Linked DNA regions of Saccharomyces cerevisiae S288C. The gene in region 1 interacts genetically with each later gene. Each region holds a gene or a part of one and is shown in the gene's direction. Other genes may lie near its edges. The genes, in order: YGR266W, NDL1, YIR021W-A and YOL162W.

Region 1 (6,479 bases):
TTTGGACATTCACCTTCCACGTAACGATCAGCCAGATAAGAATTATGAACTGGACAGTACAATTGCTTCATAGATTGTTCTTCTAGATAACCATTCGAATTTAGCTTTGTAAAAATATGTTGAGCAATCTCCGTTTGCTTGTCCGTCGTAGTTCTACCGAAATAATCAAATCCAATTTGGAACCACTTGTAAACGTCACTGTGGATTTTGTGATATTTGTCACATAATTGTCTTGGTGTCACACCTTCCTCCAAAGCTTTAGTTTCCGTGGCAGTACCATATTCATCAGTACCACAAATAAACAAGGCATTATAATTACGTCCCTTACAGTAACGAGCAAAAATGTCTGCTGAAAGAACACTACCGATGATATTACCCAAGTGTGGAACGTTGTTGACATAAGGTAATGCCGAAGTGATCAAGATGTTTCTTTCGTTTGGCTTAGGCAAAATTTCTGAATCCTTTGGCTTAACTGTTAAGTCAGCTTGGATTTTCACTGCGCCGATGTTTTTGAAAGAAGAAGAATCACGTGGAACATGCTTTTTAGCCAATGCTACAGCGTTATGCACTTTGGATGGCAATTCTGGGAATTTAGAATGAACTAAAGAAGAATTTAGAGCATAAACGTTAGCAAACAGGATCAAATCTGTAGTAGTCAATGGTTCTTTTAATTCGACCAAGTAATTTTCAATGGCCTTATTTGTCAAAACCTCGACATGTTGTTGAGGTAATTCTTTATGATATAACAGGTTTTGTAAAGATGCCAATGCAAATTGATACTTGTCGGAAGTTTGACCTTCAAAATCATCCATGACATATCTTAGAATAGCGTTAGCATCAAACAAAAGGAAAGGTTCCTTTGTATTGCGCAATTCCATGGCAGCATTATCATTGTCAACTTCAGGCTTTAAATTTTTGCTTGCATATTCAAGTGCTAGGGCAATCTTCAAATTGTTCGCTAACTGCAAATGGGCAGGATGTTTCTTCGATTTATCAAAGGAAATGAGGAAAGACATGCTTGTTGTAAATTTCCGCTTTTTTTTCAAGTTTTATTCCTCCACAAAGATGCATATCAGGAAGCAAATCATCATTAACATTAGACATCGAAGAAAATTTGTCATCGTCTTTTTTTTTTTTTCGTTTTCTCTTTCGATAAGTTGCGTACAGAAATTTTTTCTGCCTCCGAAATCATTCGTGCCTCGTGATATTGAGAAGAAGTGACTATACTCGGGCAATGCATAAATGATCGTTTCGGCGGCTAACAAAGATAATCATAGCAAGTCGACAGATCGATAGGATACACCATTATCATCACGCTACGCGTTCTCGGGAAAGCTTTGACTAGAATATTTTTCAAAGTTGAATTATATTATGTTAATCTTTTGACTTCATGCCTTTTGAATTCCCCTCCATAGGTTCCCATTTTTGACTTCAACAATTCCTACTTCAAAATCCCTGGTTAAAGAAGCCTTTCCTCAGTTTGTACAACTATGTCCGCTGTAGCTAAAAAGTTAGCATAATTCATGTTTTATGCCTGAGACGTTTTAAACTAGTACTTAATCTCTATCAATAAACTTAACCCAGAAGGTCTCAAGATTAAACATGTTATTTTTTCGTCCTTTTATTGAAAAAAGTTGAAATAGCAGCGTCGGGTAATACCAGGAATATATTTTTATCGGCACGGCTACATAGCGAAGGGTCCATTAGTAAAAATGAAAAGAAATTCCACAAAGTTAGTGAGGGGAAAGTCCTACAGAAGGTCAAAACAGTTGCTACCGGGTTCAAAGTACTCAATTGAAAATAAACACTGCTACAAAAATGCATGCTACAAACTGGTTCGACGATTGGAACCCAGAAGCTCTTTATAGAGACGATGTCACTGGCTGCGATGACTGTTCCGAAACTTCGCCAATTCCAAAGTCTGGTATTATATGTGGACCGATATTAAGACTCATCAACATGGATTTTAAGGAAAAAACCTACGAGGGGTCTATTATGGTGGTAGTTAGAGGCGAGGAAAACTTTCCGAAAATTACCTATCAGCTAGGGCCCTCTTTGCCCTCTGAGGATGAAGACATCGAAGTTAACGAGGCATTCTTCGAAGGTAAACTTTTTCATAAGGACATTTTAAAAGATGATAATATATGGTTTTACAGGTATGAGATTAAGTTGCCCATGTCCAACTATGAGCAGATGGTAAAATATGCTGTTGACGGTACTATGGAACCACATTATAGGTTCTTCGTTCCCTCTTTCACTCAAAATTCGAACGTTATCTCCTATTCATGCAACGGATTTTCACTGAGCGTAGATACATCGAAATTCAAAGGTTCTCTATGGTATGATGTCCTTAAAAAGCATCGATACGTTCATTATCATGCCATTCTCGGCGGCGGAGATCAAATTTACTCCGATAATATTAAACTGCATGCGCCAAATCTTAAAGCTTGGCTGGAGACAAAGGACCCAATTAAGAAGTATAATACTCAGACCACTGAAGAAACAAAAGAGCAGATTAGGCAGTTTTATTTAGAACACTATTTAAACTGGTACGGTTACGGTCACTGGTATGGTTCTACCCCAAAATCCAAGACCACCCAAAAATGCTTTGTCAAGTCACTAGCTTGTATTCCTGCCATTAATGTCTGGGATGACCACGATATTATTGATGGCTATGGATCGTACAACGATTCCTTCATGAAGACTGAAAATTTCCTCACAGTGGGAAGAATGGCTTACCGATACTATATGCTTTTCCAGCAGCATGTCAGTGCTTCTAAACAAGATGGCGATGAGTATGCTTATCTCAAGAGCAAACAATGGATTCTAGGTAATGAAAAAGGGAGTTCTTATATCGGTGAAAGGTCTCACTCAATATTCTCTTGGTTGGGTCCGAAAATGGCCATGTTAGGGTTGGACTGTAGAACTGAGAGGAAATTACACGAGATTTTCTCAGAAAGAAGTTATTCCTTAATTTGGGAACGTGTCGAAAGGGAAATAAAAAATTTAAAAGGTGGCCACTTATTGCTGATGCTCGGTATCCCGATTGCATATCCAAGGTTAGTATGGTTAGAATGGCTTTTTACCTCAAAACTACTGGCTCCAATTAAATATTTATCTAAAAAAGGGATATTTGCTAGTGGCTTCGTTAACGAATTTAATGGAGATGTAGAACTGTTGGATGATTTAAATGATCATTGGTGCGCGAGACATCATAAAAAAGAAAGAAACTACTTGATAATGAAATTGCAAGACATAGGTGCTAAATATGGCGTCAGAATAACCATATTATCAGGCGATGTACATTTGGCATCTGTTGGGAGATTTAGGGCAAAAATTCATAGACACCATCTCATCATGTCTGAGGAGAAGGAAAAGGAAAACACCAGAATTATTGAAGAACCAACGAAAGACGTAAGGCTGATTTTTAATATCATTGCTAGCGCCATAGTAAATACCCCACCGCCAGATGCAATGGCCACGCTATTGCAAAAAAGATGTCGCTTGCATCATTTCGATTTGGAAACGGATGAAGATGCCGTACCAATTTTTGCCAAGGAAGTGGATGGAGTACATAAACGTAAAGAATCATGTTTCATGAACAAGAGAAACTGGTCAGATATTATACCTATAGAAAACCTGTTGAATAATCCCCAATTGAGTAAAGAATTAGGCGTAAAGGTTGGTGATATAGTCATTCCTGGTATCATCACAGAACAGCAAAAGCTACAGAAATTGGAAAACGATGACCAAATTAACTCTTATCCAGTAACTTCTGGTGGCTTGTTTACCACCATTCATGTTGAAAGAGATGCAAATCAAACAAACTCACAAACTGTGAGCTACTGTTTACCCATTCCAGAGTTAACAGTTACCTGCGAACGGTTGTCTCACAAGGGTATCAAACATCTGAATATCACATAGTTTAGTTTTGTGATAATTACAGATTTTTATTTAGCAGTTCAAACTTTTCTATTCATTACTAACGGACTGTCAAGTGCGATGCTGTACCGGAAGTAAATGTATATACTGATTGTTGAAAAAAAAAAAAGCTCAGTCGCGCGTGGCCTTTCTCTATGGAGATTTCTCAAACGATATTAATCCTGTATATCTCTATTAATTTAGTTAATACATACACGATATATCGTCGCTTTTATTTTTTTTTTTCAAATACTTCTTCTTCCTAAAAGAGTTAAAAACTCTTCTCTTGTTTTATGAGCCCTAAACCCTCCAAGCATACAAGAAGTTACCGTAGAAGATCCCGTTTTTTGAATGCCTCTTGAAACCATGCACATATGAGAAGCTTCCATAACAACGGCTACACCTAATGGTTTTAGAATATCACTTAGGGCCATTGCAATTTGCTTTGTAAGTCTTTCTTGAACTTGGAGCCTTCTCGCATACATTTCTGCCAATCTGGCCAACTTACTTAACCCGATGACTTTTTTATTTGGTATATACCCGATATGAACCTTGCCGAAAAATGGCACCAAATGATGTTCACATAACGAGTAAATTTCAATATCACGAACAATAACCATTTCATCATGATCTTCTTCAAAGACAGCATTCTTAATGACATCGTCCATAATGTTCGTTTGGTAACCTTTAGTGAAATAAAGCATGGCTTTAGCGTATCTTTGTGGAGTATCTAGTAGACCTTCTCTGTTGACATCTTCACCCAGTTCGGTCAAAATTGTCTTGATAGCGCCTGAAATGCGTTGAATTCGTTCCTTTTCCTCCTCTTCAGTTTCCTCTGCACGTTGTCTTGTACCCACACTTGGCCAAGAAAACCCATCTCTCTCGACAGGAGGGTTTAAAGTGTATGGAGAGGTAGGTCTAATGTTTAACGGGGTTTCATGTCTTTCTATCTCTTGCACTAATTGGATGTTATGCATTTTGGGATGATTGAAAGTATTGGTTCTAACAAAAAATGAGTCACGCACGCACAATCACGATTGAGGATGGAGTCGTATAATATTTTATGAACGGATGCTATATCGATCAGACGGTTGGCACCGTAAAAATAAATGAAAGAAGTTAAAGAAGGGCAAATCAGTCGGATTATGTGATAAGTATGTAATAGACATGTTTGAAAATTAGGAGCATTAAAATATGCTTTTCATCCTACAGTTGTTCGGTCTTTTTTCTTTTCGGTGAGCGACACAGCTTTTCTACTAAGGCCGTACCGGGTCATCCAAATCCTAAATTTTCATGCGCTAATAGCGTTGAGGCTGGGTGATAATTCTGCCTACACCATGACAAAGAGGACATATATCTTCGTCCAACAGGAATCTGGTGCGTCCGGACCCTCTGCATTCACCACATAGCACGCCACCCAGGCGAGGATCCCCTGGTTGAACGTACAAGGGCCTATTACCCTGCCATGCGTTGGTGTACACGGGCATTGTATAGTTTGTGTAATATGTCGGTGCAGAAACAACGTTATTTTGAGGTGCAAACCTCCTCCAACACGACTTGCAAGATCGTCCATTCTTCAACTTGTAACCCGTATTTCCACACTTGGAACAGTAAAACCTGGGAGGGTATGTCCAGGGCAAGCTAGGATTCTGTTGTGGCCTCGGTGGAGGCCGTGGTTGGGAACTTGTAGGCGTATAAGAGTGTGAGTGAGCATATGTTTGGGATGAGGACGTTGCTGGCATTGTCGAGGGCCTTTGGTGGGGTCTTGATTGGTGCCCTTGCGCCAAGTTAGCTGCTGGTCTTGGTGGTCGTGGCGGTTGAGATTGCAATCTCTCCTCTTCCTTGATTACGTCCTCGTAGCTCGGCAGTTCATCATCATGCGTGTCTTTAGACATAACAGTATGGTTTATACTCGTTTTATGGGTATTTTTTGGGACTGCTTAGTTCTTGACTTGAAGCCTCTTTATTCCCTTGATGGAAGTGTCACTATTAAAGATGGAGGCGGAGGCTATACCGTAGAAAATGATATGTTTGTATGTTCTGCTCTCTTCCCTCTATTAAAAGGGGGAAAGAGAAAAATAAATGGAAAAAAGCGATTAAGCCATAGGGAAAACACTCTTGTGGTGGCAAAGCATCAGATAGGCAGGCAGGAGGAAATGGCAGTGAAGTGTCAAACCAAGCATACTTTCACTGGATTGATTTGAAAGTTAATGCTGAGTTTGAGATGTTTTAAAGAGGAACTGTGGTGATCGGTTATTTCTATTCGCTTTTGTGTGCGTCTTTTCATCGTTTGCAGCTGAACTTGTTGAGGCATTAGCCGCTGAGGAATTTTTTTCTGCCTCTATAAACTTGTTTATTATCACTAAAAACGTACCGTCTGTTATTTTGTACGGCCATGTGTGCGAAAAAGGACAAAGTGGTAGCGAAAGAGCAATATTGGGACGAAAAGGAGCAGAAAAGGAACTGCGTAGGGTCTTAAATAAAGCAAAACGTCTGAAGGATCTTGCGTACTCCTTACTAACCCATTGTTGTTTTCGACAGTCATAAAAAGAAGTTAC
Region 2 (4,978 bases), on another chromosome or scaffold:
CATAGCTCCAGTGCCTCGACCGGTGTCTCATGCTTTAGCAGAAGTGATTCTTCTTTAGCCATCGAGGTCAATGCAGATGCAGACATATTGCTAGATTCGTTGGGCACTAAAAATGAGCCACTTTCTTCTCCCAGGTCGACTTCGCAGGAATTAGAAGGTATGGATAGCCATGTCAATCTCAAGATTATTATCAGAATACCTAAGTTACAAGAATCGGAAAGTTTTGGAAGATTGATTTGTGTTATGGGTTGGTTCTCTAGTGTAGATGAAGATGGCATGCTCATACCAAAGTTGTTAACTGTGGGATTCATCGAAGACAACGAAAGCATTTGATTCACGTGATTTTTGAAATTCTGTTCATCTAAGATTGGAATGGCAGGGTATAAATGTTTGAAGAATTTCTCGATGAATAATGCGATGACGCGCTTTGGTGGCAACATCTCACAAAGTGTTGCGAGGACTTCAGATTCTGTCATGTAGGAATCATGTTTCCTGCTTTGTGCGGGATGCGAACGAGCATGAGATCCGGACTGTGGTTGGTGGTGTGGGATGGTATTGTGCGTTGAAGCTGGTAAGGCCGCTGTATTTTTCATGCTTGAATGGTCAATGGGGCAACGACTTGCCGGGTTCGAAGAAGAATTTGCCATGTCAGAGGGATAATCCTTCATATAGTTTCTATGGTCCACAGGACATTTTGACTGAGGCGGATTCATTGTATGCTTGTTATGGTCTATCATAGCTTTAGTGGAAAATGGGGAAGGTGTCTCGTCCTTGGGCGGCATCATTCCTGCGGAATACATGGTGTGGTCAACGGGACACCTCTTCTGGGACGAAGTGTCCTCTCTGGGAGGAATCATTCCCGAAGAGAACATGGTGTGGTCAACTGGACATTTCCTAGGAAGAGGAGTCTCCTCCTTTGGGGCCACCATGCCAGACGAAAACGCGGAGTGATCAACAGGACATTTTCTGGTAGCGGCGGCAGCGGCAGAAGGCGGCGCTTGCGCGTGATTGATGGGACATTTGCTTGACTTCAGCTTAGAGTACGAATTTTTTTGGTAGTACCATTCATTTAACTTTTCCCTCATAGCGAAGATATGACCCCACAAAAGTTTTAGGTACGGGTCACCTTTCATGATAGACAACCAGTGGGTGGCACCTAAGTGGATGGTTCCGTTACTTTTGATATGCAAAAGATCAAAGTCCTTAGTTAAGTCCAGCTCATCGTTGTCATATTTATTTGAGATAGAAAGGGACGAGGAATTCGCGTTGGCGTTCGCACTTCTGGAAAAGTCTTGTTGTTGTTCCTGTTGCTGCTGTTGCTGTTGTTGCTGATGCATATGCGAGGCAGAGGAAGCAGAGCCTGTATTTGCATTAACAAGGGTGGTGTGTTCATCGCTACCCATAAACAGGTTGCTGCTCTCGGGAGTGTTGTAACTTTTCAAGGAGTTAGACGAAGGAGAAGAGTGCACCTTAGAAAGAGTCTTTTCTAAAGATTTTACGCGCTCCCTAAGCTTCTTTAATTCGTTGTCCTTCAGCAATTCTTTCTCTGCCTCTTCTGCCCAGGTCTGTTCCATGTAGTGGCAGAGATGGGCTACCCCAGTTTTAGTGCACTGCTGGCAGTGTGGTCTGAGTTTGTCACATTTGACTTTCCTTTTCCGACAAATGGTGCAACTGAGCGGAATTCTGTTACGCTTCCTCTTGATCTTGGACGAATCTGAAGACATGTGCAAGGGTGGAGAGTTAGAGCTGGTGTTGGCACCGGGCGTAGTTGCTGTATGCATGTTAGGACTTCTTGAGACCGAAGACTGGGTCATGGATGCAATGGAAGGCACAGATGAATTATAAGGGGTATTCGACATCTAACCTATTGTTCCCTTTTTTTTTTTTTCTTTTTCTTCTATTTCCTTACCTTCTTGCCTGCGACTGGAGAAAAACTAAAAGGCCAAATTGAAAGGGAAGAAAAATTTTCTGCGAAAACAAAACAAGATGCTTTGATAAAAGGAAGTTGATGGAATGAGGTTCGATGAGATGAAATCAGATACAATTTTGTGCAATATCTTCAAACCTTAAAAGAGCACTGCAGGAACCTATTCTTTGGGAGAACAATAGCGTCTGTGTGCTTGCGGTATCTTGAGTTGTGAGTCTCAAATGTGTGCTTTGCATCTCGAAGAATAATAGAAAAAACCGAAAACCGAAAAAAATTGTGCCTCAAGAGTATATCCGATATATATGAACGCGATCGAGTTACCGGGGCCGTTGCTGGTGCCGTTGCCTGGTATTCTAAACGAGGCCGCGAGGGTGGATTTCGCCCGACGGGTGAATGGGTGTGGGTGGAACGAGGATTGTATCGTTTAGACAGCCGAATTATTACCCGGTTACTCAACAAAAAGGGGCAAGCCAGACAGGTGCAGTGGCTCAGCCGTACAGCTCGTACTGTGGTTTGCTAATGCGCTGGGCGGTTGTTGAGATAAGAAGAAGAGGGAAAGGGAAAGGAAGAAAGAGGAAGAGAGAGAGAGAGAAAGGGCACACGAAATTCAGGATACGGCGGAGGAGTTATCTTTATTTTATACGGTCTTGCCTTGTAAGGCCCTACTCAAGCGGGAACAAGAAAAACAGTTGTAGCTTCCACAAGATGTTGGCTATAGAGATTGTTCTGTGCTTAAAGGCTCGCTAATCAATATTTCTTGAAGTACGATTTCTGTGTGTATAGATTCTCCACAATTGTTTTTCTTAGTGAGGCTCCGCCACGATCGCGTCTTGCCATCATCGTCCATCCATGGAAAAGAGCTACAAAAAACGACTGCTGGTGTACATACAATGCTCTGGGTTTCGTACATTTGCTTACTAAGTGACAGAAGCGTTCATCGATCCTTCGAAAAGGGTAACAGCGGAAAAACAGGAAATATTGGCTACATACTATAACTCAACAACGTATCATGAACTATTCCGCATATTCGTAACCTTATTTGTAGCGCAGTAAAGCCGCTAAAGAGGTCTTCTCCTATCGGATCTTGCTTTTTTCTTCCTTTTTTTTTTTTTTTTACAATAGAACAATAAAAAAACTGAACGTTCTCTATATCATCTGTGACGGCAAGTATCAATTATTTTATCAATTAGTTTGCAGAATCGGGAAAATTAATAACATTAGAAATGAAAGTTTTCATACATAAATTTGCAATTAAGGATGAAAAAGAGGGATAATAAGGGCTACAACAAACCACGAACGGCCGAAAGAACAATCCTCGCAAATTTAATTGGAATATCCAAGGGACATATACGTGCAACAATTGCGACTTTCCTATGGTGCCGAATTTGGATTTGGAAACAGCTATACAGATAATCTCCTCACTGGAGACCCAGTTGAGCGAGCTTGAAGGCGCCACGAAAGAATATGAAAATGATTTGGAACAAGTAATATCAAAGTTAAAAAGCGATCTTCTTGAGAGCCAACAACAAAATAAGTGCAATAAGAAACAGATAACAGATTTAGAGATACAGGTAGATGAGTTGGAAAATGAAAATATCCAACTGAGGAATAAGATAGAGACATTACAATTGGAGAGTGACCGACGACTGGAACGCAACGTTCTACTGGAACACGAGTTACTCGACACCAAAGAGGCGCTGCAAAAGTTAAGAGTCAGCAAAGAAGAAGCCACTAGCGGTGAGACTAGAAGGAACACCAGGTCGTTACCCAGTCAAAATAAAAAAATGAAGTTGTTTAAGGATACTATCAAAGTCTCGACCACATCTTCAACCTTGTACTTGCAGAACATGGCAAAAACTAACAACGCTGCAAGAAGTCACTGTAATATTCCAAATACCCAAATAACACAATCCACTGTGATAGCAACAACGTCTTCCGTTTAATGACACATATAAAATTGTTATATATAATTTTACGTATATATTTACAAGTAGAAAGAACGCTAACGATTTAAGATGACAACCAAGTCTTCGGAATAAATTTTTTCCACCACAACACAAAATCATAAAAATACAATTGATTAATACGCCTCTCATAGACTATCCAGTTTGTCAAGTTCTCCCACATCCATTTAATAGACCACCTCGCATACTCCGAATTAATTCTTTCCACTTTTTCGTCGTAGACCGTCTTGGCGCAGTATTGCGTCATGATCAGGAAAGTCCTCTCTGGCCCGAGTGGATTCTGTAGACATTCATCAAGATGTCTGGTTAGGTCGTTAGTCTTCAATATCAAAAGCACTACACGAGGGATTCTAGACAAAATGCTCATCAAGTCGCTCAGTAACGTTCCTTCCAAGATCCCATTTGCCATGACGTCCATTTCTTCTTGTGTTCGACTCGTTGAAATGTCGTAATTCAAAGCAGCATCAATGCTACGGCCCGTAATTGCAGCCGCTAAAAGGGGAAACTGTTCGTCGGTGATGTTTGCGAATCCTTTGGCATACTTCTTCATTTTTGTCTGGTCCTTGTCGAATAGGAGCGACAACCAAAATTTGGCATAAAGTCTTCTTGTTCTCGTGCTAGGATATCTATAGAGTCCGTGGTCAAATAAAACAATTTCAAAGTTATGGTATCCATTATCTTTAGCGGGCTTAACAGATCGTATGGCCAGATTTCCTCCATGAGGATCACAATGAATACCTACATTGGGAGTAAAAATCATGTTATTGAAAATATGAGAGAGACAACTCGAAACTTCACTGCGCGAGATACCGTGACTGTCAATGTACTCCAAATCATCCAACCTTTTGCCTCCAACATATTCCATAATCAAAATTCTTTTGTGGCTTTCAATGACCTTGGGTATTTTCAATGCTGTTTGCTTCTTGAACTTACTAAAATAATGACGGGTTTTTTCTGCATTTTCAGCTTCTTTGGTAAAATTCAGTTCCACGTAGATTGAAGACTGAAGCTCATCACCAAGCCACGTTAACGGATAATCAGGGAAGAAGACATCCAGCAGTTCAAACACTGTTCTTGTCAGCATAAC
Region 3 (4,658 bases), on another chromosome or scaffold:
AAAGTTAATTTCTGCCTACAATCACCTTCTAAACGCTCGGACTGATTGCCTTGAGCAATCAGCAGTTCTTTGAAGCCACTGTCGCAACAAAGAAAAAGAAAAGGGAAGTCCATTCTTAGCCCCAAAGAAAAGGATGACAAAAAAAAGAAAAAAAGTTAACTCGTACCAGTAAAGCCTAATTTTGCAGTGATCGCTAGCCCCAGAGAAGGACTAAAGACAAAAAGGACCCACTCGATAGGAAAATAACGGCCGAAACTCTTTGGGCGACATTTTCTTGTTAAGAAAACAGAAGAAAAAAACCTTAATTTGAACTTTCCAGGCACACCCAAAAAGGATTATGCTTATGTAATGCCACATTCCGAGAAACTGAAAGGCAAAAAAGAAAAAGCCTTTTTTTTCCTGCCGCGAAAGTTTAATTTGCCTACCGGCGTTCCTATTGGAGTCAGGAAAAGATCACTAGGAATTACAGCTGTGAGAACATACTCTGGGGCTGGCGTAGGCACACAATCCGGTATTCCTAAAGTTTTGTGGTACAAAACTCCATACCTAAAACATAAAACAAATCTCACCCGTGGATCCTTTTATTCATAATACCCCGTCCTGCACGCCGTGGAACTGAGTCTAAGTTGACAAGGCTACGAATGAATTTTGGGAAATGCATACGAAGAGGACTGAAAAAGTAGCAGGTTTCATGTGGTGGAAATACCGATTAGCGCATTCACATTCGTGTTAGGGTCCGTTTTCCCGCACAGCTTTCGAAATATGAAACAATGTCCGTCTGCGTCAGCAGCTCAGATAAGGAAAAAAGAGATGGTAAAAAACATTCGAGAAAAACAAGTACTGCAGGTGCATGTCCTCAATGCATGCAAGTGACCGTTTTGGGGTGGTGAGAACCATCACTAATTAAACTTTTCCTATTTTTTGTCTTTACAATATTCATTAGTCTTCATTCGCATTGGGTGTTCTACAGAAATGCTGGGCAAATCTGGAGATGGGTTGATACGCTAGCGTTCCTACTTGTAAGGGAGCAAAGATGTTAGATTTTTCTGTTTTGGAATTTTAGCTTTCTGTCCACCTTAGGTGTATGGCTCGGCTCTCGATGAGAATAGGAAAGTATTCCGCACTAACCGATGGGGGGTTGTTCTTACCGTAAAACCACACTTGAAAGCTATACGTAGTTGGAACCCCAAAACGACGGTATGAAATGAGGGATACATTAGGGGACAAAAAGGACTAGTAATTTCTTTGAAATTTGTAATAATAATTCGAAAAGTTGAGCATCCTTAATCTGACATGGCACACAGATGAAAAGGTGTTGAAAGCACTGTAAAAGAGGTTAAGAAATATCCTCTTTTCAACGAGCTTCATTTTGAGTATAATATGTTTATATTTGTCGCTGGCCCTGAGATGCTCAACTGTAAGTAAAACATCGGATGTGTGGATAAAAAGAACATGGAAAACGAGTGCAGCAACGACTATATTTAAAATAGTATCATTCATAATTCGATAGATGGACTTTTCAGCTACTTGTAAACGGCGAAATTGTGTCTAAGTTGTGAATGAGCTTTTCATTTTCATTTGCGTACCGAAGTGGTAAAACTGACGACCTAAAGTACGATATACGGAATAAAGCAAGTTCTAATACTCTCTGCAGTTTGACCAGTGCTACTTGGCGCTGTTCATTCCAATTAGCCGTAAATTTGTGAAATAGATCCCAAGATAATCTCCGTTTTATTTGCTTCCAAAGAGGTTATCTTTTTAATAGTTGGCATTTTCTAGCTTCTTGGTTGCTATAAGGCATAGTTGAAGTGCAGTGAGAGGAAGAGGGGAACTCACGGAAAGAGACTCCTTATACTTTTGTCAACCGGTGTGTTCCAAAATTCGCTAGTTAAACGTTTTATTAGCAGCGGTCCCATTGAGCCAAAACCCCGCTGAGCGTTGCGACACAATCTGATCATACCACATAATCATTGCAGCGCCTACTTTTTAACTTCTAGCAGCCAAATTGTTATTCAGATTTAGTTGGCGGTACGACTCCTTACAGCAGTAAATTATTCGAATTAGTAACAAACGAGTGATTGGTATGTGGAGATAGGAAACGAAGACTGAGCAGAAGCACCCACGCTAAGTAATTGTATTCTTGAATTGGGAGCCTGAAGAATTATGATCAAGCTCAGCATCTTTCCGTAGCGTCTTCGAGAATTTGTCCTGTGAGCGGAAGGTTGAAAGTTATAAATGATGTCTTATTTTTTTGCATGATCTCCCCAGACCCAGATGTCATCTGTAAAGAATTTAGTAGGACAATTGAAGACGCTGTCTTCCAATTGATTCAGCGAAACCTTTTCTTAAGATCATTCATATTCTTGTCAAAACACAGATCAGCGTCATATTATTCTTGTCTCGACATTAGGCCGTAATTTCGTCGAAGAAAAATGATCTATGTCATTGTAAATATCTACAATTCCAGCTATTTACGATAATCACGTTAGAATCTTTTGAATGAATGTCTTTCGATACTTTTCCACGCTTGAAAGTTCGCATTCTTTTGGCGTTTTGTATCCTTATTATTCCAAACTTTGATCCGTTTCAACAACGGAAAAGGGAAAAATGAAAAAGTGCTGGTAAGTGAAAAATTATGAAAACTCGCTAAACGGCGAAGTTTAGATGTGAGACAAGCAGCAATGGAAGTATAGGTTGGTATTGAATATCTGTGGTTACTCTAAAGATGTCTCCGAAGAATATAACAAGGTCGGTGATCCCGGCTATAGATTTGTATTGCCGCAAAGCAAATTTTAAAACTCTAAAATCATTGTCGATGATCCTAGGTAGTAAAAAAGAATGGTATGACACTAAAAAGGCGCCATTGAGAACCTTTTTGGTCTCTCGATGTGGCATTTTCGAGCAGTTGAGGGGTCGTCTCGTTGAAGATGGCAAAGTCAACTTGTTTAGTGTTTTCCTGACAAACGACTCATTTTCTTTTTGCAAGATGACCGTTGATGATAAGTTCAACACTAGCTTGGTCGATTGGCAAAAAATACCCTTTGACAGTACATTTGCAACTGACAGAAGACAGAATATCAGTTTACTACCTGTTGATACACTGTTTGCAACTGAAAAGATCATATCGATTCTTGGTGTATCTCCTAATATGACGAATCTTGTTTCTATAGAAAGAGAGCGATCAGACCTGGTGGATTTTAATTGTAAACTGCAATCAAACATCCTAGAACACCTACTATACGCGAAATGCCAAGGAGTGTACGTAACTTCTACCAATGAAAAAGCTCGTTTGCTTGCAGCTGTCTGCAATCCTGAATTCATTGACACCTTCTGGTGCGAATTGACTCCCATAAGAGTCTCATTAAAGGAAAACCCTTCCATTTCTGTACCTCGAGAATATCAGATGTACGATCCGGTGGTACGTGCCACTATAAAGGAGGTTGTCACCAAGCGATTACTGCGATCCGCCTTCGATAATGACATCGACCCGCTAATGTGTCTTCATTTGGATAAAGGCTGGAAACTTAAATTCCCCATACTATCCTCGACAACGGGCCTAAACTTCTCCCTGAAGGATTGTCTTTCCCTGGACACAGGAAAAGATGCATCTGATATGACAGAGGTGTTTCTCGCTACTATGGAGTCGAGTAAAGTTCTTCGTACGTATAGCAACCTCGTTGACATTGTGATGAAGGACAATGGTAGGTTGGACTCAGGCGTCCTAAAGCAATTCAACGACTACGTTAAGCAAGAAAAGCTCAATCTACAACATTTTCAGGCCGGTTCCTCAAAGTTTCTCAAAGGCGCAAAGATATAATCCTCTTATATAGCATGTAAATAGAAAGTACGTAAAAAAAAGCTACTATTGACTTTATTCTCCGTGAGGGCGGTTCTTTCTGTAGCTGTTGGTTTTTTCCAGATCTTATGTGACACACCTGCACAACAATGTCATTCTCTGTCAGCTGCAAGACTCCCAAGACCACGAAGCTGCTGGTATCTTCTATTTCAGAGAGCGCTGTTGCTCTTATTATTATTACCATACGTATACTTTTTTCCATTGGCAAAAGCGATTTCAAAAAAATAATCTCCAAGGAAATAAATGGTGCAGAAACAATATACTACAGAAATATACCGGAAAGTAAACCCCAAGGGAGTTAGCACAAGATGAATCTAAGATTTGAATTGCAGAAACTATTGAACGTTTGCTTTTTGTTTGCATCTGCTTACATGTTCTGGCAAGGCTTAGCCATTGCTACTAATAGCGCTTCTCCGATCGTGGTGGTGCTTTCAGGCTCCATGGAACCAGCTTTCCAAAGGGGTGATATCCTTTTCCTATGGAATAGAAATACTTTCAACCAAGTAGGTGATGTCGTGGTGTATGAGGTCGAAGGGAAACAAATCCCCATTGTGCATAGAGTTTTGAGGCAACATAACAATCACGCGGACAAGCAATTCCTCCTGACCAAAGGTGACAATAACGCCGGCAATGATATCTCACTATATGCTAATAAGAAAATTTACTTGAACAAGTCAAAGGAGATTGTAGGGACCGTCAAGGGCTACTTTCCACAACTAGGGTACATTACGATTTGGATTAGCGAGAACAAATATGCCAAGTTTGCATTGTTAGGTATGTTGGGGTTGAGTGCTCTGCTGGG
Region 4 (4,809 bases), on another chromosome or scaffold:
TTGTATGCTCTTCGAGGTGTTGAAGTACGCGACGGCAACCAATGGGCTAAATACATCGATGCAGCTCGAGTTGCTTTCGGTAGCAAAACGGACGTTTTAATTGCCCAGCATCACTGGCCCACTACAGGGCAAATGCGGATCAATGAATTGCTGAAGAAGCAGCGGGATATGTATAAATTCATTCATGACCAAACACTTCGATTGCTTAATCAGGGATATACCAGTAGAGATATCGCCGAAACTCTTCGTATGCCATCCAGTCTTGAGCAAGAATGGTCAACACGAGGTTACTACGGCACTTTGAGTCACAATGTAAAGGCTGTGTATCAAAAATACCTGGGGTGGTATGATGCAAATCCGGCTAACCTAAACCCTTTGCCACCCGTAGCCTATGCAAAGAAAGCAGTCGAGTATATGGGCGGCGCTGATGCTGTATTGGCACGGGCTTATAAAGATTTCCAGAAAGGAGAGTTTCGTTGGGTTGCAAGCGTTGTTAATCAATTGGTTTTCGCTGACCCAAATAACCATCAAGCTCGTGAGCTCTGTGCTGACGCATTGGAACAGCTGGGGTATCAAGCAGAAGCCAGCACGTGGCGCAACGCTTACCTTGTAGGCGCCATGGAGTTGCGCCAAGGTGTACCAAAAAGACGAAGTACTGGTAAGCGCAACAATATTGCCGTTTTGAATAACGAAATGTTTTTTGACTTTCTTGCTGTGAGATTGAACGCTACGAAAGCAGAAGGTAAAATTATCGTTAGTAATTGGTGTTTCATTAATTCAAATGAACGGTTCGTGATCACTCTCGAAAACTGTGCCCTGACCTACATTCAGGGCTGGCAGACAGATGCAGATGCAACAATTACTCTCAAAAGAACTACATTTGAAGCTTTATTGGCCAATGAAATTACTATGGTTGATTTTTTAAGATCAAAAGAAGTCGAAATAGAGGGTAATCGACTCAGAATTGAAGAGCTGTTGAAGTTGTTTGACGACTTCGACCAGTCCTTTCCCGTCGTTGAGCCTATGGGGGGAAGCACTTGAATATATTATCAGAAATCGGCGAGAAACTTGATTTTTAGATGCCAACTTTTTTATCCACTATATTATATAATTTTTCAATAGTATTTCTTCAATACGAGGCCTTTTGTGAAGAAGAGAAATCATTCCTGGCCCACTGATTATCATATACGATATCGAGAATGATATAAGTTATAAAGCTTGTAAAGTGTGGTTCGAGGTGTTATCGTATTTACTACAATTGGAAAAGTACGGATTAATATACAGTGAAACTAATGAATCAGAGTGTTTAAAAAAGGAAGACACAGTAATCTATAATACTTTGGTGGAGCTACAGGTTTCTATTTACAGTCACCTATACTTCCGAAGAGAGCTTTTCGTATATTCTGTTTTCCTAATAACATTTACTATTGTGAATTGAAATTTAAAGTTATCTCAAATTCAAATGAATCTGCCGTTTCGATTTACTTCGATAAAGTTTGCGTTCTTCAAAATGGTAGTTTCAGACCATCTACTTTCCATCACCTGGTTTTCATCGACATTCCAGCTAATAGTGGAAAGATAGATTCACACTAACGGTGGAATACAAACTCATAGTGATTACAACTGTTTCGGGCTTGTGGCGTATATTGTGGCGCGATGTAAGAGAATACTCAGAGGACCCTGCGCCACAAGCTAAGACAAAACAAAGAGAACTTATCTGGCAGCTCGCCGAGTTTCGGTGTTCTTTAGGGTGACGCTCACCGCTTGTCATTGTGAATAGACCACAATTTTCCTCCGATTTCTTCACAATGGCTCTGATGGAAAAGCCATCTGCTGAAGATAATATACTCACCTAGACTATTCAACAGCAATCGGGGTGTCATAGAGTTTTTTATCCATTACACAGATATGTAAATCTTTATTGACACTGCTGATAACCGAAGGCAGCCTGAGCCAATATACTTAGTATATAAACGTACTATTTCAGACACAAATTAATATAGCACTCTCTAAACACTTTGTTTCGTATTTATGTTTGAGTACAAGCCTGAAAAAGCCTCTGTAGAAACTACAGTTACTCAGTTAGAGGAGTCCCTTTCTGATAAACCTCTCTATTCATTGGTGAACATTCCCAATACCGACAACTCTCTGGAAAGCCTGAAAACCCCTTTTTAAATCCTGCTGTGGAAAAGTATTATAGACAGTTGTACGAGTCCACTAAGTATGAATGTCTTGAAAGATTTGATACAACATTTGAATGGACTAAGAAAGAAGAATAAAAAGTAGTGAGAAAGTTAGACTGGCATGTTACTCCCCTTTCATGTTTCCTATTTGTGGCCTTGCAGATTGATCGAGGTAATTTGTCACAAGCGGTCGCCGATAACTTATTGCATGATTTGGGTTTAAATGCTAACAATTATAACGTTGGAAACACCATATTCTACTTGACTTTCTTGTGTGCAGAATTACCCTCACAACTCATTTCGAAGAAACTAGGAGCTGATAGTTGGATTCCTCTGCAAATGATAGCGTGGTCCCTAGTGGCTACGTTGCAATGCAAAATGACAGGGAAGAGTTCTTTCTATACATGTAGAGCACTTATGGGCCTATTTGAAGGTGGTTTTGTGGCTGATTTGGTTCTCTGGATGTCGTACTTCTACAGCTCTTCAGAATTGTCAATAAGACTGTCGTTCTTCTGGGTGACACTATCTCTAACACAAATCATCACTTCAATTGTGGCCTTCGGGGTTTTTCACATGAGAGGGATAGGTGGCATGGCAGGGTGGCAATGGCTTTTTTTGATAGAAAGAATTTTCACTTTAGTCATCGGTATCAGTGCATACTTCTTGATGGTACCCTCCGTAGTTCAAACGAAGAAACCTTGGAGCAAGAAAGGATGGTTCACTGAGAGGGAAGAAAAAATCATCGTAAACAAGATTCTGAGAGATGATCCGACAAAAGGGGATATGAACAATAGGCAAGGTATGTCACTTAAAATGTTATGGCAGGGGATAACAGATTACTATATATAGCCTATCTACTTGATGGGCCTTTTGGCTTATATCCCTACGAACGTTTTGGCCACATACCTGACTTTGGTATTGAGAAGTATCGGTTTCACAACCTTTCAAGCCAACCTGCTAGCTATTCCTAACTTTGTTCTTCATATTCTCCTGCTGTTTGGTTTAACATGGTCGACAGAAAAATGTAATAACAGGCTAGGTTTGAGTCTGTTACAACCGTTGTACACTGTTCCTCTTCTTGCAGTTCTTCGCTTTTGGAAAGGTACAATGTTTAATAAATGGGGAACTTATGCAATTATTACCTTAATATTAGATAATCCGTATATCCATGCAATTTGTGTATCCTTGTGTTCTAGAAACTCCCAATCAGTTAAAACAAGAACAGTATCTACTTGCTTGTACAATATGTTCGTGCAAGCAGGTCTCATCATATCCTCAAACATTTATGCGAAAAGCGATGCCCCACTCTATCGTAAGGGAAATGGAGTTCTTTTTGGTTTGGCACTTTTTATGTTTCCAATATTAATTGGTAGCAAATTGATTTATGTCTATATCAACAAGCAGAGGGATAAGAGGTGGAATGCAATGTCAGAAGAGGAAAAAGACCACTATCTAAGTACTACTAGTGATGCTGGTTCACGTAGACTCGATTTTAGATTCTATCACTGAACTATGTAGAAATATGGATACAATCTCCATGTTATGTATTTTTTAAGTTTGTGAATCATTTTTTTCATTTAATGTTCTATACTATTTTCAATAAGATGGATTAAGGACTTATATTTACCCTATTGCCGTTGGTGTTTATGAACTAATCACTCTTTTTCCTTAATTATATGTTTAGGTGATTGCTTAGGTTTGTTTAGGGTATGATGAGCTTATTCACTATATTGTTGAGTTAAATATTCGAGATTTGAAATTTATAATTTGCTATAAATCTTGGTTTTCTTGGTCGGTTCCACAAAAAACTGTGCCAACCCAAAAATTTTGATATTTTACGTGTCGAAAAATGAGGGTCTCTAAATGAGAGTCTGATACCATGACTTGTAGCTCGCACTGCCCTGATCTGCAATCATGTTCTTAGAAGTGACGCATATTCTATACGGCCCGACGCGACGCGCCAAAAAATGAAAAAAGAAGCAGCGACTCATTTTTATGGAAGGACAAAGTGCTGCGAAGTCATACGCTTCCAATTTCATTGTTGTTTATTGGACATACTCTGTTAGCTTTATTACCGTCCACGCTTTTTCTACAATAGTGTAAAATTTCTTTCTATGTTTATCATATTCATAAAATGCTTCACGAACACCGTCATTGATCAAATATGTTTATAATATTAATATACATTTATATAATCAACGGTATTTATATCATCAAAAAAAGTAGTTTTTTATTTTATTTTTCATTACTTTTCACTGTCTATGGATTTTCATTCGTAAAGGCATCAGTCTCTAGTTTGCGATAGTGTAGATACCATCTTTGGATAGAGCCTTGGAGATAGCTGGCTTTAATCTGGTGGAGTACCATGGGACACCGGTGATCATTCTGGTGACTTGGTCTGGGGAAATACCAGTCAACATGGTGGTGAAGTCACCGTAGTTGAAAACGGCTTCAGCAACTTCGACTGGGTAGGTTTCAGTTGGGTGGGCGGCTTGGAACATGTAGTATTGGGCCAAGTGAGCTCTGATATCAGAGACGTAGACACCCAATTCCACCAAGTTGACTCTTTCGTCAGATTGAGCTAGAGTGGTGGTTGCGGAAGCACCAGCAGCGATGGCGGCGACAC

What was found.
Region 2: mutations in YGR266W (region 1) and NDL1 together harm fitness more than expected from each alone (negative genetic interaction), as found in Saccharomyces cerevisiae (one large-scale study listed by BioGRID).
Region 3: mutations in YGR266W (region 1) and YIR021W-A together harm fitness more than expected from each alone (negative genetic interaction), as found in Saccharomyces cerevisiae (one large-scale study listed by BioGRID).
Region 4: mutations in YGR266W (region 1) and YOL162W together harm fitness more than expected from each alone (negative genetic interaction), as found in Saccharomyces cerevisiae (one large-scale study listed by BioGRID).

Annotation. Positions count from the first base shown.
Region 1 is NC_001139.9:1,020,838-1,027,316, forward strand, and holds YGR266W (uncharacterized protein), read left to right. Parts: upstream 1-1,818; coding exon 1,819-3,924; downstream 3,925-6,479. Other genes in the region: methionine--tRNA ligase MES1, read right to left, coding at 1-1,016; FOL2 (GTP cyclohydrolase I), read right to left, coding at 4,167-4,898; HUA1 (Hua1p), read right to left, coding at 5,220-5,816.
Region 2 is NC_001144.5:643,296-648,273, reverse strand, and holds NDL1 (Ndl1p), read left to right. Parts: upstream 1-3,300; coding exon 3,301-3,870; downstream 3,871-4,978. Other genes in the region: HAP1 (Hap1p), read right to left, coding at 1-1,859; YLR255C (uncharacterized protein), read left to right, coding at 2,321-2,674; CQD2 (Cqd2p), read right to left, coding at 3,938-4,978. UniProt on the Saccharomyces cerevisiae protein: Required for nuclear migration to the bud neck during cell division.
Region 3 is NC_001141.2:394,569-399,226, forward strand, and holds YIR021W-A (uncharacterized protein), read left to right. Parts: upstream 1-3,945; coding exon 3,946-4,158; downstream 4,159-4,658. Other genes in the region: MRS1 (Mrs1p), read left to right, coding at 2,726-3,817; signal peptidase complex catalytic subunit SEC11, read left to right, coding at 4,165-4,658.
Region 4 is NC_001147.6:7,075-11,883, forward strand, and holds YOL162W (uncharacterized protein), read left to right. Parts: upstream 1-3,044; coding exon 3,045-3,692; downstream 3,693-4,809. Other genes in the region: BDS1 (sulfuric ester hydrolase), read left to right, coding at 1-1,041; YOL163W (uncharacterized protein), read left to right, coding at 2,523-3,032; seripauperin PAU20, read right to left, coding at 4,475-4,809.